6 linked regions of the Callithrix jacchus genome follow. The protein of the gene in region 6 interacts with the protein of the main gene of each other region in a pairwise test. Links are inferred from orthologs where the notes say so. Each region holds a gene or a part of one and is shown on either strand. Other genes may lie near its edges.

Region 1 (4,735 bases), on a different chromosome or scaffold from region 6:
GTCCCAGCTACTCAGAGGCTAAGGCATGATAATTTCTTGAACCTGGGAGGCAGAGGTTGCAGTGAGCCAAGATTGCGCTACTGCACTCCAGCCGGGGAGAGAGAGGGAGATACTCTCAAAAAAAGATAAAAAGAAATCCTTTTGCACAAGACAAAGACTATGCCCTTTTGGTTTACTCAACACAACCTGGTTTCTTGTTCTGATTTGGAAAAATTCTGGGAATTTGGATTTAGAGAACTTCAGTTCTGTTATCAGTTCAACCATGCACCTTTTTTTTGTTATTTTGTTAAATAAACATTCAGGGGTCTCACCTTCCTCACTCATCAAAAGTGATCTTTGAGCTCTCTTCCAATTCCTGTTCCTCTGATTCTATTGATAGTTCATCCTTAAGCACTTAATGAAAGTAGGCTTTTTATAAGGTAGAAAAGATTATCATGATAGTTCAGCTGGGATCTAAAAGTCACTGAAAGTGCAATTAGTGTTAGTGCGGCCTAAAAGTTGTTGAGCTTGTGAACTTATCATGAGCCTTCATAACAGCCCTCTGCTACTGTGTGGTTGTATTTTAAATAACTATTTTAGCCTCATAGGTAGGACTTTTGTAGAAGAGACTTACATAGAGATTAGAAAGTGCGTATTGAGGCCCAGTGACTTGAACTTTCTGTATTGATCTAAATATGAGTGGTATCTTTCTCTAAGGCCTTTAAAGCTCTTTCATGGTTGCCAGGTCTGTTGGAAAACAACCAGACAAAAAGCAGATTATAAATCAAGACGTTAAGAGTTGTATCTTATACCAAGGTGGGAGATGTTGATCAGTTGCTGAGTGATTGCCATATTAGCCTTGTGGAAAGGTATAAATCTTGGGAGGAAGATGTGTTATATGTAATTTATTATAAACAGTATACACTGATAATAACTTTTTATTGGTTATATACTTAGTTTTTTCTTTGATTATTCTATTGGGTATACAGTTTTTTCTTCGATTATTCTTTATTATGATTGCCTTTGAATTTAATTCTTTATAGATTTGTTCTGCCTTGTGTCTTACATAAACTTGTTTTTATTTTTTTCAGTTTCTTTATACTTAACGCTTAATATGTAATTAGCTAATGTTTCTTGGTTTTACCATGTATTATTCTAAATACCTCATATGGTTTACCCCCATTTAATCCTTTCAATAACCCTAACTTTGTAAGACTGAGGCTCAGAGAAGGTATTAGCACAGAGTCACTTAGCTAATAGGTGCATCCTATTGCAAAGGGAATATTCCTAACAACTGCATGCTATATTATATCTGATCTCATACTTTTACAAAAGTAATCCCTTTACTGCTTTGTACAAAAGTAGTCCCTTTACTGTTTTTTTTTTTGCCTCCTGCTTATTTTTAGGTTAAATTGATGGGAGAGAATGGGAACTAGGGACCTTCTTTCTAATAAATAGGTACGCTTTTACATGAAAGAGGCACCTTTGTATAAATCACAGTGGAACCAAAATTATTAAATGCCTCTTTAATGGCATTCAGTGTATTTTAGAAAAACATTTGTAAGTCATGTAAAGCCATAAAACACTAATAATTCTGTGTTTTTAATTTAAAAAATAGGCTGGTGATTTGAGCAAATCAAATGTAAATTCTTTTTGTGAGATAACCAGGGAAAAATTGAAGACAGGTTAGGTATTAGATGAGATTAAGGAATTACTACTGATATAGTTAGGTATGATAATGATATCTGATTATTTTTATTTAAATATTGCTGAGTTTACTGGGGAAAATAATGTATTTGTTTTAATAATACTCTGGTTGGGGAGGGTGGGAAGCAAGGATAGTAGGGAATAGATGAAACAAGAATGCCAAATATTGATAATTTTTGAAACCAGATGGTAGGGACATAAGGGCACATTATAGTTGTCTACTTTTGTATATGTTTGAACAGTTTTATAATAACTGTAGAATTTTTTTCAACAGTTGGAAAAAAGTAACTCTTAGGAACTTATTAATTTTTCTAAAAAGTGAAAAGAAGGGGGTTTCTAGGAAAAGATAGACTTAAAAGGTTTGTTTTACCCAACCCACAAAAAAAGTGGTACAACCATCTCTTTTCCTGGCTGCTTACTACCAATATAGAAGAATAAATCCATATTAAAAACAAACAATAGCTTTATTGTTTTATTTTTATTCAATGTATTGGCATTTATAAAATTTAACGTGAAAATTCACATTAAGGTTTTCTGATTTATTATAGAATTTCCATCTTGCTTCTGATAATAAAAAGGTCATTGAACTATATCTAATCTTAGTAGAGAAGATCTCTAAAAATTGTAGGGTTTATCCTAATTCCATATTATCATCAAAATAAAAAATGCCTCTTCAGCTATTCAATTGGTCTTTCATCTGAACTGTTTTTGACTTGAAATCCTAGGCTTTTGACCTTTATGAACAAAGATATGCTGCTGTGAAGATACATCAGCTTAATAAAAGCTGGAGAGATGAGAAGAAAGAAAACTACCACAAGTAAATACTAATGCTTTATGGTTTTTAAAAATGGAATATGTTTTGAATGATCATGGAGAGTTAATATACTGTCTTTCTGTAGACATGCCTGCAGAGAGTATAGAATACACAAAGAACTGGATCACCCCAGAATAGTTAAACTCTATGATTATTTCTCCTTGGATACAGATACGTAAGTGAATATTAAGGTTTAATTTTTAAGGAAAGATATGCTTGCTCTCTTTCCCCATCCCGTGTTGATGATATAAATACTATTTCCCCATTGTGATTCTGAATTCTTGGATAATACTTTTGTCTGACTTTTTTTCTCTTCTCTGTTGTAGGTTTTGTACAGTGTTAGAATACTGTGAAGGCAATGACTTGGATTTCTATCTGAAGCAACACAAGTTAATGTCAGAGAAGGAAGCTAGGTCTATTGTAATGCAGATTGTAAATGCACTAAGATATCTCAATGAGATCAAACCCCCTATTATACATTATGATCTTAAGCCAGGTAATTATGAAATTTGTCTAATATATTTTTAAGCTTGAGTATAGTTTTAAAAAGACATTCATTTAAGTTATCTGAAAACATGCTTTTTGGTTTCGTTTTTAAAACATCATAGACTACTAGTAAAATTAAAAATAAAGTTACTGTTTTTCATATATGCATCATTAAAAGAATCTTATATTTTATTCTTAGGAAACATCCTTTTGGTAGATGGAACAGCATGTGGTGAAATCAAAATCACTGATTTTGGTCTGTCTAAGATTATGGATGATGATAGCTATGGTGTAGATGGAATGGATCTAACTTCCCAGGGGGCAGGCACTTACTGGTAAGTGTGTTACTAAAAACATCAGAATATCTAGATTAGTGCCCAGTGTTTTTATGAGAATTAAGTCTTTTATTTCCATGTAGCCATTAAGATTTACTGTGGTGGCCAGGTACAGTGGCTCATGCTTATAATCCCAGCACTTTGGGAGGCCAAGGTGGGCAGATCAACAAGGTCAAGAGATTGAGACCAGCCTGGCCAACATGGTGAAACCCAGTCTCTACTAAAAATACAAAAATTAGCTGGGTATGGTGGCACTTGCCTATAGTTCCAACTACTTGGGAGGCTGAGGCAGGAGAATTGCTTGAACTCAGGAGGCGGAGGTTGCAGTGAGCCGAGATCACGCCACTGCGCTCCAGCCTGGCAACAAAGCGAGACTCCGTCTCAAAAAAAAAAAAAACGATTGGTGAAGGTACTGATACTAAGCTCCCAGTTGAGAGGGAGACTACTGTGGTCATTCCTCTTTTCTCATCTGTTCTTAACTGCAAATAACAGCATACTGGAGAGAGAATGACTTGGCATTAGGAAGTGACTTCAGTACCTGCCAGCCAAAAACTCCTAACAGGGAGAATTCATGGGTTTTCTTCTACAATGTTAGGGTGATGTTAATCATAAATATAAATACTTAGGTTAATATAATACTCTAACTATTGTAAGCAAAAACTAAGCATCAGGCCCTCTCTGGAGGTTATATGATTGCAGGGATTGGTCATTTTATTTTAGACGGGCTTGCTCTGTCACCCAGGCTGATGTGCAGTGTTGTGATCCTAGTTCACTGCAGCCTCAAACTCTTAGGCTCAAGCGATCCACCCACCTAAGCCTCTTGAGTAACTGAGGCCGCAGGCACATACCACTATGCCCAGCTAATTTTTGAACTTTTTATAGAGACAGGGGTTTTTTGTTGTTTCAGGGGTTGTTTTTTGGGTTTTTTTTTTTTTTTTTTTTTTTTTTTTTTTGAGATGAAGTTTTACTCTTTTTGTCCAAGCTGGAGTGCAGTGGTATGATCTCGGCTCACCCGCACGCACCACCATGCCTGGCTAATTTTTTGTATTTTTAGTAGAGACGGAGTTTTACCATGTTGGCCAGTCTGGTCTCAAACTCCTGACCTCACGTAATCCGCTAGCATTGGCCTCCCAAAGTGTTGGGATTACACGCATGAGCCACTGTGCCTGGCTGAGACAAGGTCTTAATTTTTTGCCCAGTCTGGTCTTGAACTCCTGGTCTCAGGAAATCTGCCTTTGTCTCCGAAAGTGCTTGCATTACAGGCATGAGCCACTGCACCTGGTTGGTTGTAGTTTTTGTGGAAGACTGACTTTCAAAAATCTCTTTTAAAGACTTGTTATGTATAGATTTTAATTTAGATATAGTCATAGATTCATAGACATAAATCTAAATGACTCATCCATTCAATATACCT
Region 2 (5,331 bases), on a different chromosome or scaffold from region 6:
TCTCATATTATCATAATAACCATGTAAAAGTATGTGTCATTCCTCTTCAAAAACAAGTAAACCAATGCTCAGAGAAAAGTAGCCTGTCCAAGGTCTCAAAACCAGTAAGTAACAGAACAAGGATTCAAATCCCAGTTTCAACTCCCAGCCATAAAATCACTAACTTAAAGGATGTTGTATAGTTTCCTGGCTTTAGACAAAGTTTGGCTGATATGTTGGTAAGGGCTCCTAGAAATGATTTCTAAATTTGATTGTTTTACCAGAAAGACATGATGAAGGGAATGTCACAAAGGTTACACATCAGTGTGCATAGACAATGATCTACTTTAAGGGCCTTACAAACTTCTGGCTTCCAACTACTCTCCAGACATAAACATAGGGGTTCTGAAGGGCTGGAAAAGCCTTCTAAGAAAACTACTATAATGTAACATAGGAATAAGACAGAACTGGGTTTGCATCCCAACCCTAGCCACTTGCTCTGTAGCCCTGGGTACGTTCTCATCTGTAAACAAGGAATAAAACCCAGAATGTTAGCAGGATGATTGAATTCACTAAGATAACACACATAATAAGCACTCAATAAATGATCATCATGTGCATTTTTAATAGATTGAGGGTGACAGGACAAGTACTTGTCCAAGTAGCATAAGAAATTAGCAACAGAGTAAGGAGTTTAGACAGGGCTGACTGAATTCCCATGACATATTTTCTTTTAGGGATGTGCGCGGATGTTCCAGCTAAACCTTAGCAGTCAGATGCAGTCTAGCTTTGTTTCTGAACTGGCTTCAGCAACGCTGTAGCTAGTCCTGGAGATGATAGAGCCAATGCTATTATTTTGTTCCAGGGAAAAGCAGCCCAAAAGAGATCACACAGAACAGTGATTACTCTCCTTCAGAATATGAATGCCTTAAGCCTCAGTCCCTGCTATGAGGTGTTTTCTCAAGCCAACGGCCTCCATACCTCACCCCATAGTCTGTTGCACCTCATTCTGCCTGGTAACCTCAAACTCGTCTCCTTATCTAGCCCCTGGTCTTGGTCTAAGAGCAAACCAAGAACAAAGTCCAGGGCTCCTCCCTACCTAATCAGAGAGATTTACCTTCTCCGCCCCCCCACCCCCCCACCCCGCCACCCCGTCTTTGATAGTCACTGGGCAATCCTCTTTTTCATTAGAGGGGAATGGGCTGAGAAAATAAGACTAAGCAGGCCTTAGAAAGGAAGTAGCAAGGAAAAAGGGAATATACAGAGCTACAGAGATTTGGGTATGAGCTTATGTGTCATTCCTAGCTATGGAAACTTAGGCAAGTCACTTCCTAAGCCTTAGTTCCCTCGTGTAAAACTGAAAACAGCAGAGCCTACTTAGAAAGATACGAAAACTGAATAAAGAAGTAGATATAAGACTAAAAGTTACTAGATTTTGAGAACATACTATGTGCCAGATCCTAGGCATGCTAATTTATTTCACTAAATCCTCACAATTCTGTGACATAGGTCGTTATCATAACCCCATTTTACAGGTGAAGAGTCAAGGCACTGGGTGGTTAAGTAACTCATTCAAGGCCACAAAGTCAGGAAGAGACAGAGCTAGGGCTTGAACCCAGGATATCTGACTCTAGGGCAGAGTGCCTCAACTTTGGCAGTACTGACATTTTAGGCAGGATAATTCCTTACTGGGGAGCAGGGGCTTATCCCATGCATTATCAAATGTTTAACATTAACATAAAACATTAACATGTTTCATCTACCCACTTGAAGCCAGTAGTATTCCCCACCCTAACTGTGACAACCAAAAAACATCTCCAGACATTGCCTAATGTCTCCAAGGTGACAAAACCACCCCTGGTTAAGAACCACTTCTTTATAGTCTGGCACAGGACTAAATGCTCAATACATAAGGGTTCCCTTTTATTTTTGTCTCTCTCAGAGCCCAAACACCTCATTCACAGAGGCACCGCCCCTTCAAGCTGTAATGGATCTTAGATAGGATTAATTATTCCACTTATTCCCCTGGAGGTCTCACATTCTATCTGCTATCGCAGCTTGTGGGTACAAGGAAAAGGGGCTTAGGTAGATGACCTTGAATAGTTCCATTTCTTCTTCCCCAAAGCCCACCATTTTCAGTGGCCTGGGGGTGTCAGAGGGGAGTTAGTGGCAATACCATACCTGCCTCATGATAATGGATATTTGTTTAATAAATGAAGAAGATTCTGCCCTTCACAAGGATCACCACACTCCTTCAGGATCTCTGAACTGAAGATGTATCACTTCGTTCCTCAACACCTGAACTCTGCTCATCTTCATATACTCATCTATATCATACATTACTTTTAGGTCCTTGGGTCCCCTGAACTCCATCTGTCTCCCATGCAGCGATTTAAGGAAAATCTCTTCAGCAGTCCAAGACACCAGTCCACAAACCGACTCAGGGTTTTTTGATTCTATAGCCCAGTTAGGACATCTCTACCCTATGATTCAATCCTCTCCAAACCCTGTCCCCAACCCTCTTACAATACCAAATTCCAATCTCTGGCGCTGTATACTGCAACCCTCATCAATTCCTCACTCCTATGCCCCAAATCCCTCGGACATAGATCCTTTAATCCCTGTTTCCAAATCTCTGCTGCACTCAGCCCTGCACCTCAGTTCAACGGCCCAATTCCACACTTGATTTCTGCTCTCCCTCATTCTGAGCCCCCCATCTCCTGCATTCCATCAGGCACTGTGCCGCTCTCAAACCCTGTTCCTTCCTCTTACGCACTGAATGTCACATGCTGGCTTCACAGTTCAGCCAGGTCCCTTCTTTCTGCTAACAAGACAGAGTCCCTCAAGAACTCATCCCCATCCCCTCAATCTCACGCTCATCCCACTCCGAAAACCCTCTCTCACTAGCACTGAGGATCGACCTAGACCTTGCTCCTATCATCTCAGACCCTGTCCTTGCCAGATGCCTAGCGCCCCCAGATTCCCTTAAATCTCATCGGGGGTCCCCAGTTCCTTCATATTTCTGAAATTCTGCACCCAGGTCCCTCCAGGGCCCTGATTCCCTCCCATCTCCCACATGCTGCACCCCATTTCTCCTCTCGGCCCCCACATTACCTCATACCTCCCGAAATGCTTCAAACGCAAATCTCTTCAGAGCACCTCGCTCCCCTCCCCCAGCTGCATCTCCTCGGATCTCCTCAGCCCCATGAATCTCTCCCGAGCCTGCCCCTAGCAGCCCCACCCCCACCCCAGTCCTGCCCCTCAGATCCGGTCCACAGACTCTGCCATTCGGGCGCGGCCGCTGCTCGCCGGCACGGCCCTCCGCCCCGCTACTGTGCCACCGCCCACGACTCCGGCCGCGGTCCCTGGTCCCCAACCCTCCTTCCCGCCCCCTACCTGACCGCCCGCGGCTCCAACGAGTCCACCGCCGCCAGCCCACCCGCCTGCCGCCTTCTGCGCACGCGCCGCTGAGCGCCCCTTGCCGGGCGGCAACTCGCAGAGCTCCCTGTCAGTCATTGAGCCCCGCCCCCCGAGGCAAGCTGGGTCTTGTAGTGCCGCGGGGCCGGTCGGCCCTGCAGGGGTGAGCATTCCTCTGAGAACCCGGGGGCCTTAGCTACACGTAATCCAGTTTTCCGTCTCGTTGTGCAGATGAAGAAACCGAGGCCCACGGGCGAAAGGGACCTGCTCAAGTTCATTCAGTAAGTCAGGAGATAAGCCAGAACGCGTTTCTGACTCCAGTCCCAATGTCTACCCCTTACAAAGCCGTGGCTTCCAGGGTAGTCCTAATCAAAGCCTTGGCACCTCGCTGAGTCTCAGTTTTTCTATCAAAGAAATGGGCCAACGGTAGAATCAAACTTCCATCCTGGGGAAGTCGAGAACCGGGACTCCCTGGGAAGGGCAGTGCTTGGGCTCCATGTTCTGTGCTCTGACACAGAGCTGCGCTAGAGACAAGTTTATCCATGAACACATTGCTCTGTAAAGGAATGAATGTTTTGCCTACTCAGCTGGGAAGTCGACAGCAGACGCAGACGTGGGGAATACTGTCCCTGCAGACAGAGCTTCCCGGGAACCCACACCAAGTCTAGTTTTGGAGAGTCAGGGGTGAAGGTGGGGGAGTCTTACCGGGTGGGAAGTTGTCTGGCCTGAGATTTGAGGGAATCTGGGGCACTAGGCATCTGGCAAGGACGAGGTCTGATAGAGGACTGGCTGGCCATAACCTGCAGTCCCTGAGGTAGTTTGGGGACAATCGCATGCTCTCCAAGGTGACTATACTGCATAGCTTAGGAGCACAAAGGAGTTTGAAGTAGGATGGCCTTGGATTTGAAATTCCACTTAGCTATGCGACCCTTGCACAATGATAAAACCATGAACAAAAACAATAACTAACACCTTTGGATACTTGCTGTCTGGCTATAGCTAAGGACTTCAGGTGCGTGGCTCACTAAATCCTCCTAAGGACTTCATAAGATAAGGCAGCTGGTGGTTAACCTACACCTGTTGTGTAACCTAGGCGGTTACACAGCAAACCTGTGCCTGTTGGAGCCCTGATTTGTACCCGATTCTATCTGGGAACCCACTCTCTTAACCTTGTTTACTCTCTCTCCCCATTTTCTAAATTTCTAAATGAAGTTTGCTATGAAGATAAACCAAGATTATGGTAGTTTGCAGTTGGTAACTGTATTTGAAAAATTGTAATTAGCAAGTAGGGGATAAGGGAGAGGCGGTGCCAAATGCTTTCTCACTTATACTCCCTTCTTATACGAGTTAGGGAGACTTTGCATTCTTTTTTCCTGAAAACCACAGTTATCAGCCCAATGTATAAATTTCGGACTGTTCGTAGTCTTACACATATACATGTTATATGTATATGTATGTGTGTGTGTATATATATATATATCTCAATACAGACATATCGATGTTTCCCTAATGACAGAAAAGTGTTAAAAATATTCCTGGGGATCTATCTCAAGCAAGTGTTTTGAAAAAAACAAACAAAAAAACAAAAAAAAACTCCTCTCTCTTAAAAAAAAAAATCAGTGTTTGAATTTTTTTTAATGTTTAAATTACTTACCAGTTAAATGAATTATTATACTGCCCACAAACTGTTAAAGTAAAATAAACACTCTAGGAAATGCACTCATTTTTATTTTATACCTTGACATATCGTGGCACAATATTAGCATTCTTCTTACACAGAGGTATTTTTAAAATAATCTTTGTGGAGTGCTTTAAATACTCTTTATTCAGTATTTTAATGTAATAGATTTTTATTTAACGCGTAAACCACCTTTATCAGTGTAACTACACAAGGGGTTCACCTTGCCCACTGCCAAGACAAAGCTGATCCATCAA
Region 3 (4,735 bases), on a different chromosome or scaffold from region 6:
AACCGGTCTTTAGTTCCCATTTTACTGATTTCTCGAAGTGAGACAGCTATTTCAACCATTTTGCAAATATCAAAAAGGTCACTTGGCAGAAAAAAAAAATCACTTTAAAAACCATTTGTTGTTATAGCCTAAGGAAGCCTGTAAGAGCAGAGTCACTGCGGATTAAACAGCCACTACAGGCTCCTCTCAGGGTCGGGCAGTGAGGGGAAGGGAACGTGCTGGGTGGGGTGCTGGCAGCGGGGCGTCGTGGACACCGTGGTTGGTGGGTGGCTCATGGGTACCATGCTGATCTAAATCCAACTCCTCAGCCTAGTTTTCAGGCATGAGGTCAGTTCCGAAATCTGCACTATTATCTTTCAGGAAGAGGGGCCGTGGGACCCCACTGTGCTTCCATCTCCTATCCCAGGCACTACTGGGCTAATCCTTTTTTGAAAGGAAAAAAAATTGTTCAGTATTTTTTATTGTGTTAAAACAAAATAAAATCTACATAAGGTGGCCGGGTGCGGTGGATCACGAGGTCAGGAGTTCAAGACCAGCCTAGCTAAGATGGTGAAACCCCATCTCTACTGAAAATACAAAAATTAGCTGGGAGTGGTGGCGCATGCTTGTAATCCCAGATAATTGGGAGGCTGAGGCAGAGAACTGCTTGAACCCGGGAGGTAAAGGTTGCAGTGAGCCAAGATCAAGCCACTGCACTCTAGCCTGGGTGACAGAGTGAAACTCCATCTTAAAAAAATACATATATATGTAAGATAAAATTTTGCCATTTTAATCATTTTAAGGGTACAATTCAGTGGCATTAATTCCATTCACAGTATGGTACAACTATCATCATTACCTATTTCCAAAAAGCTTGTCATCACCTCAAATAGAAATCTATCCATTATGGAATAATTCCCACTCCCCTCCCCACTCCCATTCCATGGTAAACTCGAATCTGCTTTCTGTCACCATACATTTGCCCCTTACATATGTTTCACACAACATAAAATCGGACACTATTTGTCCTTTTGTGTCTGGGCCTTGTTTCATTTGGCATGGTGTCTTCAAGGTTCATCCATGCTGTAACATGGGTCCAAATTTCCTCCCTTTTTGTGGCTGAATAATATTCCACTGTATGCTTAGAGCCCATTTTGCTGAGCCGCCCATCTGCTGACGTGCGCTGGGTCGTTTCCAGATCTGGCTCCTATGAACAGCCCTGCTATGAACACTTGCTTTCCTCTGCTTCTGTCCCCACTCCACAGAAACCAAGACCACAGCAGAGGAACAGAGTCCTTGGGGCAGAGGCCGCATTGCTCTGAAGGGCAGAGTAGCCACGGAATAAACAGCCACCACAGGCTGTCCCCCTACACTGCTTCCCAAACCTACTTGGAAAGGATGCCTGTGGCACCTGGCTATGTTTTGAAGTCAGGCCCCTTCCAACACAGACTCTGATTATTTTCCCTCTTGCCTCACTCCTCCTCTGTCAGGCTTGAGAGAGGCGGCAGAGAGAACTGGGAAGGGGAGAGATGGGCCCAAATCCCGGCTTTTCCTCTCACCAGGCAGCGGATTTCAGGGCTCTGAGTTTTCCCTTCTCTGCCTCTACCACAGGGTGCCCACCTGCTCTCTGTGGGGGTTGGGGCTGAGGCAGCTGCACCTGTCACATGGGTGGCCCCAGCAACCGAGCCCTGGTCCCCGTTCCCTTCAGGGCTGACCGATTTTCTCAGGGACTCACTTCCCTGAACCTGTCATCTTTTGTGGCTCCCTCTCAATGGCTATCATGCCGTGCCCCGCCACTGCTGACTTACACACTACCTGGTGGGGAGAAAGGCAGCAGAACCCGCCTGAGCAGCAGCTTCTGCCAACTGAAATTTCACGTGAGCTCAGTACCTGGGCACGAAGATGGAGTTGTGCAGGAAATTCTCAAAGACCTTGCGGTACTCGGCCTCCTCCTTCTCCGCCTGCTTCTCGGCTTCGGTTTTGGGGCAGGCACAGCAAGGCCCTTTCTCTGTGCCACACACCTCAGTCTTGGGGTTCTCTGTGACCTCCTCAACGTCAATGGAGCCGCCAGCGTACTTCCTGATGGGGATTTTGTCTTCTCGGAAAAGAAAAGCCAAAACAAGAGTGGGATGAAAGCTGTTACACATGCCTGTGAGGAAAAATCATAGCGCTCAGCACCTTTCATCAAGAATACAGCCAGTCTTGGCTGGGCACAGTGGCTCATGCCTGTAATCCCAGCACCTTGGGAGGCCAAGGCGGGTGGATCACTTTAGGTCAGGAGTTCGAAACCAGCCTGGACAACATGGTGAAAACCCTGTCCCTACTAAAAATACAAAAATTAGCCGGGCATGGTAGTGCATCTGTAATCCCAGCTACTCCGAAGGCCAAGGAATGAGAATTGCTTGAACCCAGGAGGCAGAGGTTGCAGTGAGCTGAGATCATGCCACTGCACTCCAGCCTGGGAAACAGAGGCTCTGTCTCAAAAAAAAAAAAAAAAAGATAGCTGGTCTCCAACAGAGGACTACGATGTTACCTGATACATGTAATATTAGGGATCAGGTACATTCAAACCCTGTGAAGGAAGAGTCATGCCCTCGGTCCAGGCCGCTGCTGCACCTACCTTTGGAGCAGTAATTGTGCCGGTAAAGGTAGCCGTCCTGAGGCTGCTGCTGCCAGCGCACGATGTAGTAGCTCAGGTTGCCGTTGGGCAGGGAGGGCGGGTTCCACTTAACAATTAACTGAGAAGAGGAGTTGGACGCCGAGAGCACATCCAGGGGAATGGAAGGAACTGCAAGGGGGAACAAAGAACATTCCAGAAAATGAAATGAACTGAAGATTCCGGCTATCAGGTACTCTGTGCAAGTCACCACCAGGAAACGGCAAGTTTGACCGGGATAAAAAATAACAATGAACAATGGAATACAAAGGGAAAAGTGAGCCTCACTCTGAAATAGCACCACTTCAAACGCCAGCATTTCCCTTTATGATCTATTTCCCCACGTAATCTCTGCGAAAACAAACATTACTAAGTTGTAAATGGAAAAAGGCTTCGGGCGCACAAGCAGGGTTAGAAGAGACGTGAAAATCAACACCCAATTCAAACACCTGGTATTTCTGATTTATTATCTCTGCTGTTCTCCACAGCGCTGAACTCCAGCCGTTTCGACAACTGGTAAAGTAGACTGACTTGGATTTCATCTGAGATTTCGAATCTCTGATAAAAATGTCACGAAGCCGAAAGGAAAAAGGGGAGTGGAAAGGGGGCTGGAGAGCCTGTGCATGTGAAGGAGTATGTGTGCCCATGTCCCAGCTGTGTGTAAGAGGGATGGGGGTGAGGCAATGCAAAGAACATGGAGTCCACCATTTCCACACACATCCTTCAGTAGGCTGACCGAGGCATGACTCTGAAAAGCAGTCTAAAACTGCAAACGCATGGAAGCCTCATTTCAAGCAAAGGACTCTGTCACTAGCAGAATGAATGCTGATTATAGGCAGAGCACTGTTATCTGATCAAGCTTTAGTTATGCTGACCCCCGAACCCAAATCCAGAGCTGATGTGTGCATAGGGGTCAAATGTATCCTAGGACCACGGAAATCATGTCTTTATTGGGTTTACAAAAAAGTATCAATGTTGACTGCTTTTCCAAAGCGCGGGACACACATTCACTGGATATCACTTAAGCAACATGTTCACCTAAGCCATTTTTAAAACTTGAAAAGAGTGGGCAGCTTGAGGGTGCTCCAGGCTATACAATACACACAAGGTTCTGAACATCTTTAAGGGATGATACTTTGGAAAGCGGTTATGACTAATACTAGGGTTTTCAAAGGAAACATAACCACTTCATGCTCAGCCACTTTAGGGTTTCCGAAAATAAAGACTTCAAAAACAAACAGCTCATTCCAAGATGCATTCTTATGATAGGTGTCACAGAAAAAGCAGACGCAGAGGACCAAGTTCTTCTCCGTGTGTAAGGACGGGGGAAAAAGGTAGTAAATGGACTCCTTTGTACAGTGCCTGGTTTCCATCTTTGCGGAAAGGAAACAGGTTTCTTGAGAATCTGTCACAATAAGCAGAGATTCCTGTTTTCCAAACGCTACAGTGAGCTGCTGGTCAGGGTTACTTCCACATTTTAAGATGAAAAACTTATTGTGTTGCATTAAGCCTCTGCTACACCAACACACACCCAGGATCAGAAGCCTGTGCCAAATTTATTTGTATCATCACGTTACCCAGTGACATGACTGTGGCCATGCACAGGATCATGGAAATAGGGTAGGAGGGGAGGAAGCAGCAGGAATGCACAGCAAAAGGTTCTCCCTGCCAGCATTTTATCCTCACCTCCTCTCTGCCATTTAAACTCATTTTGTGCTAGCTTGTGAGTATTTAAAAGTACCTTACCCACTAAAATAATGGCTATTATAAAAAAAATGTTTCAGTGCTGTGGACTGAACGCCTGTGTCCCACCCCAAAATTCACAGGTCGAAATCTTAACCCCTAAGATGATGGGATTAGGAGATGTGGCCTTTGGGAGGTGACTGGGTCATGGGGGTGAAGCCCTCATGAATGGAATCTGGGCCCTTCTATGAGAGGCCCTGAAGAGTGCTCTGGCATCCCCACCACCATGCAATGACAATGAAAAGACAGCCATCTATGAGCCAGGGAGTGGGCCCTCTCCAGACACCAAACCCACCAGCACCTTCATTTTGCACTCTGGGACTTCGGAACTGTGAAACATTTCTATTGTTTATAAGC
Region 4 (5,465 bases), on a different chromosome or scaffold from region 6:
ATCCAAGTCCAGACCTCCAGAACTTCTGACTTTCCAGCTTCAAGTTGGAGTTTCCACAACCCCTTCTCTGGGTTTAATTAACTTGCTAGAGTGGCTCACAACTCAGGGAAACACATTTACCAGTTTATTATAAAGGCTATGATGAAGGATACAGATTAAGAAATTCATAGGGCAAGACATGTAGGAAGGGGCACAGAGCTTCCACGCTCTCCAGGCACACCATCCTTCAGGGACCTTCACATGTTCTGCTCTCCAGAAGCTTCCAAACCCTGTACTCTTGAGCCTTTTGGAAAATTTGTCGAATAAGCATGATTGGCTTTTGGAAAAGACCAGGAATTGCAAGGGCCTAGAAATGTGATTGGACAAAAAAGGGTACAGATTGACTGGGGAAACCCTGTAAGTGCTGTCTGTTCAGATTCTTCACCTATCTGTACAGCATTCCTTCCTCCAGGGTATGGAACAGGAACCCTTCTGAGATGGGGATCTTATGACCTACGATAAGACAACACAGGTCACAGAATTTCTTTACAGTCAGCTCCAAGACAGAAAAGCACTGGGGAGAGAAAGGAGCAAGTGAAAGGAGGACAGGAGAAGGTGTGAGAGGGAGATTTTCTTCTGAGGCCTAAAGCACCCCATATATAACAAAAGATTGCAGCAAGGGCTATGGGTGTTATGAACCAGAAGCCATGGGTAAAAACATTGTGTGTGTGTGTTTAAAATATCACACTAGTTAAACTTAACCTGACCTTCACACTTGACCTGAAGCTAGGAAGTCTAGCTTTACAGTAATTCAATCACCAAACTCCTGGTTACCAAGCTTATCCATACATTCATGTCACTCACAGTCCCCAGAAGGCAGGTAGCAGAGAGACGAACTTGGATGAATCAGACAAGCTCTGTACAAGGCTCCTTCTTTGCCTTTTGGAAGAGACCAGTAATTGCAAGGGCCTGCCAAGCCTAAAGCTCTTCAACCACGTAATCGCTGAGGCCTTGGAATCAAATGACTGGCCTAGGAATCAGTGCCCTTGCCAAAGCCAACCAGAGGTGACCAAAGACTGCCTATGATGCAGCCCAACAGCAGAAGACTACCAACCAGGCCCTGCTGGAGGAGTGGCCCCATTCTAATGGGCAATATTAAACCACATGTATGTGCAACATCAGAACTTCACTCAGCTTGTCGAATGGAGTAACTTTGGAAATACATACTACTGCTAACCAACTAGAATCATTGTCCATCAGCTTCCTCAACCAAGCCAGTCAAAAAACAAAGCCCAAGCTCCAAAGAGAACAAAGGGATGAGGCTACAGATGTTCAGAAGAAAGTAGATCTGCAAAGCGACCCATCCTAGATGGCTACACCCCCAGAAACAGACAGAGCTGGGTCCAGGGTGGCTATACAAACGATTCACCTGAGAACTCTCAGTCTTCCATCCACCCAGACATGGAAGTTGTTACCATATTGGAACAACAATGGACTAGGGAACAGGAAGTGCTACTCCCCAGAAATTCTATACAAAGAGCCTCCAATAACCCCAATACTTTCATATTTGTGTCCACACTGCACACAACTGAACAAACATTTACTGGGCAGTCCCCACTGTGACCAATGCTAAATGAAGGTTAACTACCCTCCAGGAGCTTACCCTTTAAGGCGCTGGAAGAAATGAACACACAGATGATGAGAACATAAAATACAACATAAAGCATGCAAGTGGCATGAAGTGCTACAGAATCACAGAGAAGAAATCTCCCTCTCCTTAGAATGCTAAGGCAAAACTGAAAGGAGGAAATGGCCTTTAAGCCAAACCCTGAAAGGCATACATGATTTTAACAGGTGCCCCCGAAAGGCCAATGTAGATCTCCCCAAAATCACCTGCTAACTTCATGAAATGATGCGGTCAGAATCCAGTGTTTTGGGGCTCTAGCCTAAGGTTAGGGCTTGCAGATTTTTATTTAACCAAATACATAACTATAATACAAGTGTCAGGGAGATGTGCCACCAAATATTAATGTAAATTCGTTAACAGGAAAACTTGGATATTGGGCTTTTCTAATTGTATTCTCATGTGGATTTCATTTGTCCGTTAGCTATTCACTTTATGCAGATATTTTGAATTTTCAGCTAATTGTCTCAACTTTACAACTGAGGCACTGAATCCCAAAGGTAGGGTCAAATTAATACATTTTACATTATCTCTGTTAATCCCCATAGAAAATCCTATTGCCAACCAGACTTGCAACAAGCTACACCAGAACAGGGCAGGAGTGGAAACGGTAGAAGGGCACACTGGTACATCCCTTCTACAGAACTGGCTGAGCCACAGGTTACCACACTGGCCACTCCCACTCAAACAGGCTGTGGTGAAGCTCATACAACATCATCTAAGCAAATTAATTATGTAGAGCAAAGCATTAACAGATGTAAAGAACTATCATCAGAAAAGAAAGGGGAAATCTAATACCACTTTCTAATAAGTAGAAATGGGAGATAAAAAGACAGTAAGACCAAGGAAACTACACCACAGGGCAGACATACTCCACTAGGTTTCCTTATTATAATTAACATAACTAACTTGATTGGTGACAGCAAAACCACTTGGATTATAAAAACTCCACTAATAGCACCATATCCACCATTTAACAAACAAGTAGGGGCCACGGCCTGAATAAATAACAGCTAAACATCTCCGCAGCCCGGCTTTAAAAAAAAAACAAAAACAAAACAGCATCCTCCAGACTTAGTCCACCCCGCCCTATGGAAAGAAAAAGGTATGAAGCCCCGGGTCTTCCCTTCCCTCCAGGAGTACAGTCAGGGGCCGGTGCGCACCAAGCCAAGAGCCTCCTTCAACTCAAATTTCAAAGTACTAGCAAACCAACTCTCCGCTGGCTTCCGGGTCCGTAAAGAGAAATGAAAACCGCTCCGCAGCCCCAAAGCCCACCATATTCCTTTTGTTGATACGGAGGCCACAAGGCAAGTGCCTCTAGCCCCCACTACAAGCATCAGACGCCACCAGGCTCCCCTGTGAAAACTGCTCCAGCTGGACAAGGAATCTTTAGAAAGCTCAAGTATAAGAAGATTCGCCCCTAACCGATTCTACTTCTAAAAGGTCTTTAAGGAGCAGGGAAGAGGGGTCTAAACTCCGGTAAAGTGCACACCCTCTACCCTCTCACTTAGCACCCGCCCTGCCAGGAGCTAGGCGCGCCCCGGCAGTACCCAGAAGGCGCAACAGGAGCCCAACACGCCGAGAACATGTGCCCCACGCCCCGAGGAGCTCACCCTCACGTGGTTCTCCACAGCCGCGCGACCCGCCAGCTTCTTGGCCTCCTCGGCCTTGGACATCGTTGAGGGGGCCGGGCGGACGCTGTTAGAGTCCCCGCAGCTGGTGCTTGTGTTGCCAGCACCGCCGCGGGTCCCGGACTGTGCACGCCCCGGCAGCCGCACGTGGGAACCCGGGAGGTCCCAGCTGTTCCCTCCTCCGCCTGAGACCGCGCCCCCGGCCCTCCCGGGCAGCGGGGCCAAGACCCGCCCGTAGAGGGTGCTGAAGGGCCCGGGGCGCTGCATCCCGACGCCTCGCTCAGGCCTCCGCTGAGGTCCCGCCCCTGGCTCGTCCGGAAGTCTGGTCACTTACGTACACGGTTTGTGTGCCCTGCTCCGTGGGCCTTGCTGGGAAATGTAGTTCTATCGCTTCAGCGACCCGCATCTGCGCCTCAGTCTGGACTACCAATCCCATAATGCTCTCCGTGACCGGATGCGCAATTGCAGGCGACGGCCTCTGGCGCGTCGCTCTATAAAGTACGCTTAGACGCGGGAAGATCCGTTTATGGCTCCTTACTCGAGGGACGTGTGCTTATGTCACCGTTAGGGATGTTTTTCATCTGGGAAAGGACTGTTAGACTTGACCCTGTTGTTTCTCCCAGCAGTGAGAATGTGGCCATGGACTAGACCTCAGAGTAGTGACTCTTCCGTAGACGACACGGCCCTTTGGAGGTGACTACTCCCTAGGAAACTCACATGCGACACCGGCGCCAGCTGGTTTATCTAGACCAGCACAGGCCCAAGGTCACAAGTTGAGAAGTACTTCTTGCTGTAGACAGTCTTCTGCACCTGGTAGCTGCACCTTGCTCCACCCATTACAAGGACTTTCTATGAAAACAGATTTCTCTTTATTCTCTACCTTTGAAGGTTTCTTGCTGTTGAGAATAATTAAGGGATGAGGAATTCTTAACTGCCCCCATTTTACAGAAGAAGAAACTAATGCTGACCCCAACCTTACCGACCACCTGGAGGCCCATACAAACACGTGACCTTTGTGTTTCTCAGCTATTAGTGGAATCCTTTCTGTCTGTTCATGAACTCATCTTCAAATGCATTCCAGGCCTTCAGAACTCACGTGTGCAAGTCCCTGGTATGGGCCACTGCTACTGCCACTTATCACCTAGATTTTCTAACTATGCTGTGCCCCCTGAGGCCGGGAGCTCCTGAGTCTTCACCTTTGTCTGTAGGAGGAAAAGCTGTTTGAGATAACATTTGAATATTTGAATCTCAGCACTTTGGGAGGCCATAGCAGGTGGATCACCTGAGGTCAGGAGTTTGAGACCAGCCTGGCCAACATGGTGAAACCCCATCTCTACTAAAAATATGAAATTAGCTGGGTGTGGTGGCACATGCCTGTAGGGCCAGCTACTCAGGAGGCTGAGACGGGAAAGTTGCTTGAACTGGGAGGTGGAGGCTGCAGTGAGCTGAGATCACACCACTGCACTTCAGCCTGGGTGAGACACAGTGAGACTTCATCCCCCCCCAAAAAAGTGGATACTGTTATTCCCATTGGCATAAAAGAAGTCCTCACTTAATCAAGGTCACACTGCTTATAAGCAAAGCTGGGATACAAACCTTCGGTGATTCTAGGACCAAACCCTGATCTAATAGAATCACCTAGATGGGGATTTATTAATTACCCCACCACATCACCAATATAGCACGAACTTTGTGTAAGCCACACATGTAATGGCTTTTCTCTTTAAAGCCACAAGTAATAGCAGTAAATCTTAAGACAAAATGGTTAAGAAGGGGAAAAAAAACTATAAATGAGGAAGTACTAAATGAAGGTAAGTACACAGGTTTTGGATGTTGGACTAGATTCAGGGTCTGACAAAAGTAAAATCAATCTACTTTATAAGTTAATCCACTAAAAAGCCTTTTTTCTTTTTTTTGAGTCTTGCTCTCTTGCCCAGGCTGGAGTGCAGTAGTGCAATCTCAGGTCATGCAACCTCTACCTCCTGGGTTCAAGAGCTTCTCTTGCCTCAGCCTCTCAAGTAGCTGGGACTACAGTCATGTGCCACCACACCCGGCTAATTTTTTGTGTTTTTAATAGAGACAGGGTTTCACCATATTAGCCAGGATGGTCTCAGTCTCATGATCCATGCACCTCAGCCTCCCAAAGTGCTGGAATTACAGGCGTGAGCCAC
Region 5 (5,352 bases), on a different chromosome or scaffold from region 6:
TTTATTTGTTCTTTTCATTTACTGGATTGTTATTCCAAGCACCTAATCCAGTACCTGGGACATAGATTTAATAAATTTATCTAATAAAATGGAAGTAAACAATCACTGTAACTAACCTTAATGCAGTTGTTCATTAAAATCTGTGCACAACTTTCTTCAAGTTAGCCACTAGGGGGCAGTGCTGCTGCCAATTTTACTTCCTGAATCTTTTAACCCAGTGAAATTCAGAGAAACAATGCAGTGTAGGTCATATTAATAAAATGTTTTTTCCCAAAAAAATTCTGCTTAAAATTTATATATATGTACTTGTTCATGCATTCGAGTGCATGTGCCTACACACACAAATACACTGAGGCAGACAGGAGGGTTGTTACTTCTGCCAGCCTCCCACTGCAACTGTATCAGGAGGCCACAGGGGCAATACTCAGCATTTTCCAGTCATTTTTTTGTAATTTCTTTGGGGCTCTCAGCAAACAGAAGCTAGATCTTTTATACTTACAATTAACTAGAAAAGGCTGATGAAAAAAAATCCCTAAAAACTAATTGCTCAAACATTTGCATTTGCTTTTCCTAAGATGTTTTTCCCCTCTACATGTCCCCCTTTACCCCTCAAATATAAGTTTTTTGTTTTTCTTTGAAAAGGAGTCTCATTCTGTCACCCAGGCTGAAGTGCAGTGGTGCAATCTTGGCTCAAACCTCCAACTTCCAGGTTCAAGCCATTCTCCTGTCTCAGCCTCCTGAGTAGCTGGGACTACACGTGCCCTTCACCATGCCCAGCTAATTTTTGTATTTATGGTAGAGATGGGGTTTCACCACATTGGCCAGGCTGGTCTCAAACTTCTGACCTCCAGTGATCCACCCGTCTTGGCCTCCCAAAGTCCTGGGATTACAAGCATGAGCCATTGCGCCCAGCCTTCAAGTCAAATCAGATTTTAAAACAATCGTTTTAAATAGTTATAACCTAGTTCATAAATCATTTTTTCACCTTATCTCATATTCTTGATGCATTCTTACAATCAGGATTTCTTAATCTACAATATAACATGCCTGTGATGTATACCAGAAAAATCAGCTACTGTGGGTAAATATACAGCAGTGGAGCTGAAAATACTTTCCAAGTTTGGTTCTAATGAACCTGGGCCTCCACTGAAATAAGCAAACTAGCAGAGTTTTAACTTACAACAGGATGCAAAAATTCTCAATACCCAAAAAGAAAAGTAGATGTAAAGGCCTACTGTTCCCCAGAAGCTTAGGGTTACACATATCAGCACAGTTTCAACTGGGGTGAAACAATTTCCACAGGGCAGAGGCTTCCAGTCATGTAAGTGAACATTAAACAACCAAGCCTACAAAAAGCTGTGACTTAAAGCTGTTAAATTCTGACACCTGATGGGCTGGAGGTGCATGAAAGATGGGAGAGGCTGAGGTCATCATATGACTCTAGATTCGTTCAAGCGGGTAAAAAGGTTCTTGACCCAAACGCCTTCGAAGGTGGTTATTTTGAACTAAAGTTGTTTGGGAACAAAAACACCCAAGAAATGGGTCATAAAGAGTCTGGGTGAGAGTTCAAGGAGTGATAAATCAAATGTGGATACAATGTCACACTGTTTGCAAATTGTTTCAAAAACAAGTTTCAAGTTTCTTTAGTGTTCAAATTTGAAAATTAAGGGTCATATTTTTTGCTGTGGACACTATGCCACTAGCTGATATGGCATCTATTTGTATAGGTAATTTTTGGAAGCTCTTTGGGACAAAGTTTCTAAAATATTTATAAAATTGTTAATAGTAAACGACTGTTCCTTAACTCTAATTAAAATATTCAACTTTGCTAATGAACTGATACAACCCTTAAGAGGAAAAAAGTTAATTTCTTAACAATTATACTTTGGCTACATAGACACCCCTAAAAATGAGCTTTCAAACTGAGATAAACAATTTACTGCTTCATCCCTCCTATAAATCCACATCCACTTTTAAAAGTCATGTGCTAAATCCTTAGATTTTTTTTTTCCCAGCAAAAATCTACGTAATCGCCTAATTTCATTGACACACACACTTGCACTCTGCAACAACAACACTTCCTTTGAAAAACAGAAAGTCACTTCCTCAGTCCAGAGGCCACAAGTCCCTTGATTCTGATCTGGGGGCCAAGACAGGAAATTCTGGTAGGCTTCTGCCTCTCCCCCCGTGGACAGACACTGGTGCAGCTGACAGAGGGCAGGGTCTATTCCGAGCTCCCTTGATGCACTGCAGCTGGAGGCAACGGCTCCCTTCCAGGCTGTGGGAGTGATCCCAGAGTCCGGCCCCACAGCCTGTTAAACAAGGGCATTTCATGGGAAGTGGAGAGGGAGCAGATGAGAGACCTTGAAGCCTTCCAGAAACCTTATCCCCATTTCCAAACTCGCGCGACTACCCCAGGACCATTTCGGCCAAACCTCAGTAACTGGCACCATCGTGTAGTTTGACCTCACCAAGGAAGGCATCCTTTAGGGAGAGGGTTAAAAAAGAGCCAGAACTCCACCGCTCGGCGCCACGCCGTGCTACCTCCCCTAGGCTGCCAGTTCCCCACCTAGAGGGAAGAGGCTGTGCCAGCGATGCCAGTAATCATTGTCCGTTGGCAACACCTGGCCGCGGAGAGTCTCGATCTCTCCTGAACCCAGACACTCAGGAGCTGCCCGGTCCCAAGCCCGGGCCAGCCACTGGGACTAAACTGCAGTGTCACACCGGGGTCGAGGGAGGCGCCTGTGAGAGACGAACCGAATAAAGGGACAGAAGGGGGACAAACAAATGAGTCACTTAATACAAGAGCTGCACATGCCGCTGACGCTGCCCGTGATGCAGCCGCGAACGAACGGAGGCAGGAGGCTGGGAGGGGCGGGAGGAGAAAGGGAAGGAGAGGGCGTGAGGCGCTCGCCCTTTGTAGGGCCGTCCGCGCGCCCCCAAAGCCTACGCCCCCCTTTCCCGCCCACTCCCCGACCCTGCGGGCTGAAGCTGCTAGCGGCTGCAGCGGTGCCCAGCCCCGGGAGTCAACTCTCTCGGTCTCCAGAAGCCACCAATACAAACTTCGGTACTATATTTAGTTTACGGGCAGGCCAGCTGGGGAAGCGCCGCCGCGCCCGCCAGGCTGAGCAGGAGCCGCAGCCTCAACCTGCCGCCCGCCCCGCCCCTCGGCGGCGCACCTGTGACAGGTGTGCAGGTGCCCCACAAGCCCCGGGCCGCTTCTCGCCCCGGCCTCCGCGGCCCCGGGCCCCAGCTCCCCAGCCTGCCGTCCCTCCGGGAGCCCCCCGCCCCTCCGCAGGCCCCGGGGCGCCCCCCGCCCGGCCGCCCGCCCCTCTGCGGCCGCTCCCGCACTCACATAGCGCCTCAACTTCTTCTCGGGGGGCGATTTCCTCAGCCAGCCGGTGCACACCACGTCGCCGCCACCGCTCATGCTGCTGGCCTGGTCCCGCCGCCTGGTCGTGCGGACGAGGGCGCGGGCTCGGGCAGCTGGGGCAGCGGCCGGCGGTGCGCAGCTCGCGGGAGGGCAGGGGCGGGGCCGGCGGCCTGGCGGGGACGAGGCGGCGCGGCGCGCGCCCGCTTCCCCGCCCCGAGCGCGCTCAGTCCGCACTCGCAGCCCGGCTGGGGGCGGGCGGCTGCAGTAGGAAGGCCGGCGCGCTCGCCACGCCCGCTCCCGCCGCGCCCCCGAGGCGGCCGCGCACGCGGACGCGGGGCTGGGGACCCGCGAGGACACAGTTGCCGCCGCCGCCGGCGCGCCCGGGAGTCTCGCTTTCTCCTGAGGCCTCAAGCCGCGGGCGCGGAGGCTGGGGAGGCGGCCGCGCCCCTGGCGCTAGCGGGTGTGAGGGGAAGGGAGGGCGCGCCCTCGATCGATTTTTCGCCGAATGTCGATGGGGAAGGGATCGGCGGGCTGCTCGCGTTTCCGATCTATTCCCGGAGTTTCAGATTTCCGCGGGTCAGGTTCCGGCTGAAAGGAGGGACCCCTTCCCAGCAAGAAGCTCCTTAACTCTGGCGCCCCTCGCCAGGAGGAGACGGACCTACTACGCGCCGGGAGCCTTTGCACTCGTGGCTTACAGGCTTGTCTTCAGAGTCGTTCCTATTTTACGGACAGCCTAAGGGCCAGGGCTCTTACAAAGCCGAGCCAAGTTTCTAATTCAGGTGTGTGGGGGAAGAGGGGACCCGCTCATTTGCTATTCAAAATGAGGGCGTGCCTCAATGGGATCAACCTGGGGCCCTCTCGTTGCGGGGAAACAAAGTCCAGCTGACTCCCTCCCACATTGCCTCTGGGAAAACACAGTTTAGTAGAGAAAATTCGCATGATTCGTAGAACGGAAGAAGCAAAACTAGTCATAGTGAATTGAAAGGCAAGGTCAAGCGTAGAACAACAAGAAATTGGGGTCAAAATTCCCCAGCGTTCCCGCTCATTGACACAGGCTATGAGACCTCTGTTTGTAAATACAATGATAGCCTCTTATTGCGCAGTGAGGGTTCCCAGATGTTCGTGGAAGCGCACAACCCCAGCACTTCAGCGGGTAGAAAAAAAATCTTTTGTATGAGCCCTTTTCTCATCACAAACTGCCTCTCCAAGCTGCATTAAAAGGCAGGTCTGGCCGGGTGCGGTGGCTCACGCCTGTAATCCTAACACTTTGGGAGACCAAGGTGGGTGGATCACCTGAGGTCAGGAGTTCGAGACCAGCCTGGTCAACATAGTGAAACCCTATCTTTACTAAAAATACAAAAATCAGCTGGGCGTGCCTGTAGTTCCAGCTGCTCAGGAGGCTGAGGCAGGAGAATCGCTTAAACCCGAGAGGCGGAGGTTGCAGTGAGCCAGGATAGTACCACTGTACTCCTGTCTGGGCGACACAGTGAGACTGTCTCAAAAAAAAAAAAAAAACAAAGGCAGGTCCTCCCTAACTTCTCTGAGAAGTTTTTTCAACGGGGAACCGTGCTTTGTGGACAGGTGAATTGGATAAGCAGCATCTTGCACTGCCCCACACAATCTTAGACTAAAGATGTTTTATTTTTTTCTGTCTGTGGCACTTAGTTGTTTCAAGCAGTTAGAACAACAGATCTTGGTTGGGTTGGGGAAGTTCACCCTCTTCAGTTTGGAAAAGCGAATCAATCTCCTACCACGTACTTAGTTCTTCTAGATACCCTGGGAGCTTTAGTGGTCAGTCCCCTGGATCTAACATTTCACTAACTTTCTTCAGTATCCAGTGTACTGCTGGATGGGAAGTAAAGCCAGAACTGTTAGACTGGGATCAGAGCTCCCTTAACCTTCCAATTTAGGGGTCCTTAAGTCACATATGAAGGGCCACTACCAGAATGATGGCCATTTTAACTTCTGGCTTCAGATAC
Region 6 (4,735 bases):
ACATCATCTCTACCAAAAATACAAAAATTAGCCACGTATGGTGGCATGTGCCTAGAGTCCCAGCTACTCAGGAGGCTGATGTGGGAGGATCACTTGAGCCCAGGAAGGCCAAGGCTGTAGTGAGCCAAAATCACACCACTACACTCCAGCTTCAGCAACAGAGTGAGACCCTGTCTCAAAAAAAAAGCCACCACAAGGTGTTTCTTTTACTCACACTCATTTGCTGCAGTAAAGCCACAGATTCTTTCTAAAGACCCCAGTGTATGTTGGAAATCTTCCAGAGAAATTAGATCCTTTTGTTTCTTTGAGATTTTGCCACCAGTCAAAACCAAAAGAGCCAAATGGAGCTGTTGGCGCATCCACTGACTACTCATTGCCAACTCCCTTCCCTCAGAACACAATGCTCTTCTATTTCGAAGAAGCCCTCTCAGCAACTTGTTCCACGTCAATCAATGGCCGAATTTAAAAAAGAACGTCAGTTTCAAGTCTCTCAGGTCCAATTCCAAACATAAGACCAACTTCTCCTCCACTAAAAATAGGACATAACAACTCACATAAAAACAGTTTTAATAACTTACCTCAAATTCTTCCCAAAAGCCTTGCTTGACTTTATCTGTGGTCTCAGCTAATTTGCTTAGTTCTCGAACTCTGCTTTCTATTTCAGCAGCGTTTATACGAGTCGTGTTAAGGGGCTGATCAAGTACAGCGGTTGACGTAAAAAAAAGAAAATTTTACAGAAAATAGTGTTAATGCAAAAAAAAAACTTCTATGTTGATATTCATAAAGGCAAGAACAGAGGGTTCGCAGACCATATAATTCACAATAAAAGTTTTCAAAGTTTCAGTTTCTTTTCTGTTCTGCCAGGAAATTTATCTTTCTTCAGTATCCACGTACACTTACTTTACTCACTCTGCTGATATAAATTTAAGCCTATTTTTCTTTATGAATAGACCACAACATTATTTATAGAGATATTATATCATTTGCCACTATCACAAAGGTGAACTATGAAATAGCAACAATGCCAAAGTGAACAAGTGAGGTTACCTTAAGGTAACCAGAAGTAGATCGATAATGAAAACTTGCTTTAAAACTCTGTATTGCCGTAGGCCAGGCACAGTGGCTCATGCCTTGTAATCCCAGCACTTTGGGAGACTAAGGCGGGCAGATCACTTGAGGTCAGGAGCTCAAGACCAGCCTGGCTAACATGATGAAACCCCGTCTCTTCTAAAAATACAAAAATTGACTGGGTGTGGTGGTATCGCCTATAATCCCAGCTACTCAGGAAGCTGAAGCAAGAAAAATCTCTTGAATCCGGGACACGGAGGCAGTGAGCCGAGAACCCACCACTGTACTCCAGCCTGGGTAACAGAGCAAAACTCCATCTCAAAACAAACAAACAAACAAACAAAAAAACCTCTGTAAAGTCTCTTACAGATAAATATGGGAATGATATAAATTTGGAATATGTTTCTAAGTACTACAGGAGGCAGCCGATGAGTGAAGTCATAATAAGAAAGATTTAGGGCCGGGTGCAGTGGCTCACACCTGTAATCCCAGCACTTTGGGAGGCCAAGGTGGGTAGATCACCCGAGGTCAGGAATTCAAGAGCAGTCTGGCCAACATGGTGAAACCCAATTTCTATTAAAAATGAAAAAGTTAGCCAGGCATGGTGGCGGGTGCCCGTAGGCCCAGCTACTCAGGAGACTGAGGCAGGAGAATCACTTGAACCCAGGAAGCAGAGGTTGCAGTAAGCCAAGACTGTATCACTGCACATTCCAGACTGGGTGACAGAGTGAGACTCCGTGGCAAAAAAAAAAAAAAAAAAAACAGTTGATCATAAGTTGAAGCTGTGATGGGTACATGGAAGCTGATGACACTGCTCTACCTCTGTATGTTTGCAAAATTATCTATTAGGATTTTGTTTAAGTTTTTAAGGAGAAAGCTTGAGCTTTCCAATCCATTCACCTGCTTGAGTTGTAGTACTGTACCCAATGTTTCCACCATAGGATTCTTCTTGTAATGTTCCACAAGATCTGTCAAAGAATCAAACCGTTCTCCTCCACCAACATCGTATTTCAGTTCCTTTCAAGTTAAACAGATGACGTTTATTATTTGTTACCCTTATGTTACATTAGTGTTTTCAAGCACTCTCATGTTCACTGCAGCATTATTCACAATAGCAAGCATATGGAGACAACTTAAATGTCCATCAAAAAATAGACAATAGGCTGGGTGCAGTGGCTCACGCCTGTAATGCCAGCACTTTGGGAGGCCAAGGAGGGCAGATCACTTGAGGTCAGGAGTTCGAGAACAGCCTGGCCAACATGGTGAAACCCCATCTCCACTAAAAACACAAAAATTAGCCAGGCACAGTGGTGGGCACCTGTAATCCCAGCTACTCAGGAGGCTGAGGCACAAGGATTGCCTGGGCCCAAGAGGCAGAGGTTACAGTGTGCACTTCAGCCTGGGCAACAGAGTTAGACTCCACCTTAAAACAAAAGATAAATAATAAAAATGTGGTGTGTGTGTATATAAATATTCTAAAAGCATAAATATACTCAATATACTAGTACCATAAGTATAATAATATAGTAAATATGCTAATATAGTAACTATACTAATATACTAAAGTATAATAAAAGCATAGACAACCTTGACTAAGTGAGCAAAGAAAATCTGACTTTGGACCAGGCACAGTAGCTCGCACCTGTAATCCTAACACTTCGGGAGGTTGAAGTGAGCAGGCCTATTGAGCCCTAGTTCAAGACCACCCTGGGCAATATGGTGAAAACACCATCTCTACAAAAAATACAAACACTAGCTGAGCATGGTGACACACACCTGTAGCCCCAGCTACTCAAGAAGCTGAAGGAAGATCAACTGAGCCCAGGGAGGTTGAGGCTGCAGTTAGCCATGACCATATCACTGCACTTCAGCCCGGGTGACAGAGGAAGACCCAGTCTCAAATGAATAAGTCAATAAATAATGAATGAATGAATGAGAGATAGAGAGAGAAAGAAAGAAAAGAAAAAAGGAAAGAAGGAAGGAAGGAAGGAAAAGAAAGAAAGAAAATCTGACTTTAAGTGTAATGGGGTCTGTCCTCTTCCAGCAGAAAAATCACCCAAAGATTTGGGTCACCATACCCAGTGGGGTGAAACCCCATCTCTAGGTGACAGAGCAAGACCCTGTCTCAAAAAAATAAAGAAAGAAAGAAGTGTTTTTAAAAAGACAATTTGACTTTGAATGTAATGGTGTCTGTCTTCTTACAGCAGAAAAATCACCCAAAGACAACATCTTGCCAGACCCATAGTTCAACTGAGATGTACCTGACAGCGAATCATGACGTGGGTCACTTTAGACTTGCCATCATTGCTCTCCCCTTTGTCATCACCAGTGCGCACAGAGAGAACAAAATCTCCAGGGTGGCTCTGGCTCTCTCGTACAAGAAAGCTACCATGCTTTCCTTTTTCAGTTAATAATTTCTCTGCTTCTTTCCCAGAGAGGTGTCCATGAAACCACCTAAATTTTTTTAAAAATAAAAAAGACTTTAGTTCTGCCGTGGGTTCATGTTGTTCTTTCACAAAACTACTATATATAGTCAGCTCTCCTCAACACAATTAAAAAATAAGACACATTCCTCCCAGGGACTGATCAATCCCACCTGAGACAGAAAATGTGCATCCCATGCAGGCAGGAAAAACCACAAAGATGGTAAGAATGACCATCTTTCTTTATTTTTTTGAGATATTTTTCTGTAACATTAGTTACAGATTTTAGAGTGAAAGAAAAAAAAAAAGAAAGAATGACCACTAAACTTAAGTGAGTCCACAGTCCTTTACAGACAAATGCCCCAATCTTTCCTGTTTTCTTCAAAATCCCTCCTCTTTTAAAAATGCAATTTGCCATTCGTCCACTGCCCAATCTTAAAAGGACTAAACTATGTAATCACAGCCATTTAAAGAAGTTATAAGCCAGGCACAGTGGCTTATGCCTGTAATCCCAACACTTTGGAAGGCCAAGGCAGGAGGATCGCTTGAGGCCAGGAATTCAAGAGCAGGCTGGGCAACATAGTGAAATCCTTGTCTCTAAGAAAAAATTAAAAATTAGCCTGGCATAGTGGCATGTGCCTATAATCTCAGCTACACAGAAGGCTGAGGCAGGAGGAACACTTGAGTCGAGGAAGTCAAGGCCGCAGAGAGCTATCATCATGCCACTGCACTCCAGCTTGGGTGACAAGCAAGACCCTGCCTCAAAAAAAAAAAAAAAAATGGCAGCTGGATGCGATGGCTCACGTCTGTTAATCCCAGCACTCGGAAAGCCAAAGTGAGTGGATCATCTGAGGTCAGGAGTTCGAGACCAGCCTGACCAACATGGTGAAACCCCATCTCTGCTAAAAATACAAAATTAGCTGAGTGTGCCGGTAATCCCAGCTACACAGGAGGCTGAAGCAGAAGAATCAGTTGAACTCAGGAGACCAATGTTGTAGTGAGCCGAGATGGTGCCATTGCACTCCAGCTTGGGTGACAAGAGCGATACTCCAACTCAAAATAAATAAATAAATAATTTTTTAAAAGTCAAAGAAGTTGTGATAAAAAGTTATAATAGAGGCAGGCGCGATGGCTCACACCTATTATCTCAGCAGTTTGAGAGGCTGAGGTGGGCAGATCACCTGAAGTCAGGAGTTCGAGATCTCCCCGGCCAACATGACAAAACCCTGTCTCTACTAAAACAC

What was found.
Region 1: the proteins of PTPN11 (region 6) and TLK1 interact in binary tests that used the Homo sapiens proteins (3 or more experiments, as listed by UniProt). The link is inferred for Callithrix jacchus from reciprocal best matches to the Homo sapiens genes PTPN11 and TLK1.
Region 2: the proteins of PTPN11 (region 6) and TRIM32 interact in binary tests that used the Homo sapiens proteins (3 or more experiments, as listed by UniProt). The link is inferred for Callithrix jacchus from reciprocal best matches to the Homo sapiens genes PTPN11 and TRIM32.
Region 3: the proteins of PTPN11 (region 6) and IGF1R interact in binary tests that used the Homo sapiens proteins (3 or more experiments, as listed by UniProt). The link is inferred for Callithrix jacchus from reciprocal best matches to the Homo sapiens genes PTPN11 and IGF1R.
Region 4: the proteins of PTPN11 (region 6) and RPIA interact in binary tests that used the Homo sapiens proteins (3 or more experiments, as listed by UniProt). The two-hybrid records come from large-scale screens. The link is inferred for Callithrix jacchus from reciprocal best matches to the Homo sapiens genes PTPN11 and RPIA.
Region 5: the proteins of PTPN11 (region 6) and GAB2 interact in binary tests that used the Homo sapiens proteins (3 or more experiments, as listed by UniProt). The link is inferred for Callithrix jacchus from reciprocal best matches to the Homo sapiens genes PTPN11 and GAB2.

The regions. Positions count from the first base shown.
Region 1 is NC_133507.1:58,525,281-58,530,015, forward strand, and holds part of TLK1 (serine/threonine-protein kinase tousled-like 1), read left to right. Parts: intron 1-2,411; coding exon 2,412-2,503; intron 2,504-2,585; coding exon 2,586-2,675; intron 2,676-2,826; coding exon 2,827-2,996; intron 2,997-3,185; coding exon 3,186-3,321; intron 3,322-4,735. UniProt on the Homo sapiens protein: Rapidly and transiently inhibited by phosphorylation following the generation of DNA double-stranded breaks during S-phase. This is cell cycle checkpoint and ATM-pathway dependent and appears to regulate processes involved in chromatin assembly.
Region 2 is NC_133502.1:165,022,793-165,028,123, reverse strand, and holds the start of TRIM32 (E3 ubiquitin-protein ligase TRIM32), read right to left. Parts: upstream 3,446-5,331; 5' UTR 3,094-3,445; intron 1-3,093. UniProt on the Homo sapiens protein: E3 ubiquitin ligase that plays a role in various biological processes including neural stem cell differentiation, innate immunity, inflammatory resonse and autophagy.
Region 3 is NC_133507.1:11,000,852-11,005,586, reverse strand, and holds part of IGF1R (insulin-like growth factor 1 receptor), read right to left. Parts: intron 2,768-4,735; coding exon 2,600-2,767; intron 2,075-2,599; coding exon 1,870-2,074; intron 1-1,869. UniProt on the Homo sapiens protein: Receptor tyrosine kinase which mediates actions of insulin-like growth factor 1 (IGF1). Binds IGF1 with high affinity and IGF2 and insulin (INS) with a lower affinity. The activated IGF1R is involved in cell growth and survival control.
Region 4 is NC_133515.1:25,431,118-25,436,582, forward strand, and holds the start of RPIA (ribose-5-phosphate isomerase), read right to left. Parts: upstream 3,602-5,465; 5' UTR 3,562-3,601; coding exon 3,277-3,561; intron 1-3,276. UniProt on the Homo sapiens protein: Catalyzes the reversible conversion of ribose-5-phosphate to ribulose 5-phosphate and participates in the first step of the non-oxidative branch of the pentose phosphate pathway.
Region 5 is NC_133511.1:62,169,768-62,175,119, reverse strand, and holds the start of GAB2 (GRB2-associated-binding protein 2), read right to left. Parts: upstream 3,481-5,352; 5' UTR 3,431-3,480; coding exon 3,356-3,430; intron 1-3,355. UniProt on the Homo sapiens protein: Adapter protein which acts downstream of several membrane receptors including cytokine, antigen, hormone, cell matrix and growth factor receptors to regulate multiple signaling pathways.
Region 6 is NC_133510.1:115,404,210-115,408,944, reverse strand, and holds part of PTPN11 (tyrosine-protein phosphatase non-receptor type 11), read right to left. Parts: intron 3,523-4,735; coding exon 3,330-3,522; intron 2,086-3,329; coding exon 1,969-2,085; intron 693-1,968; coding exon 579-692; intron 1-578. UniProt on the Homo sapiens protein: Acts downstream of various receptor and cytoplasmic protein tyrosine kinases to participate in the signal transduction from the cell surface to the nucleus. Positively regulates MAPK signal transduction pathway. Dephosphorylates GAB1, ARHGAP35 and EGFR.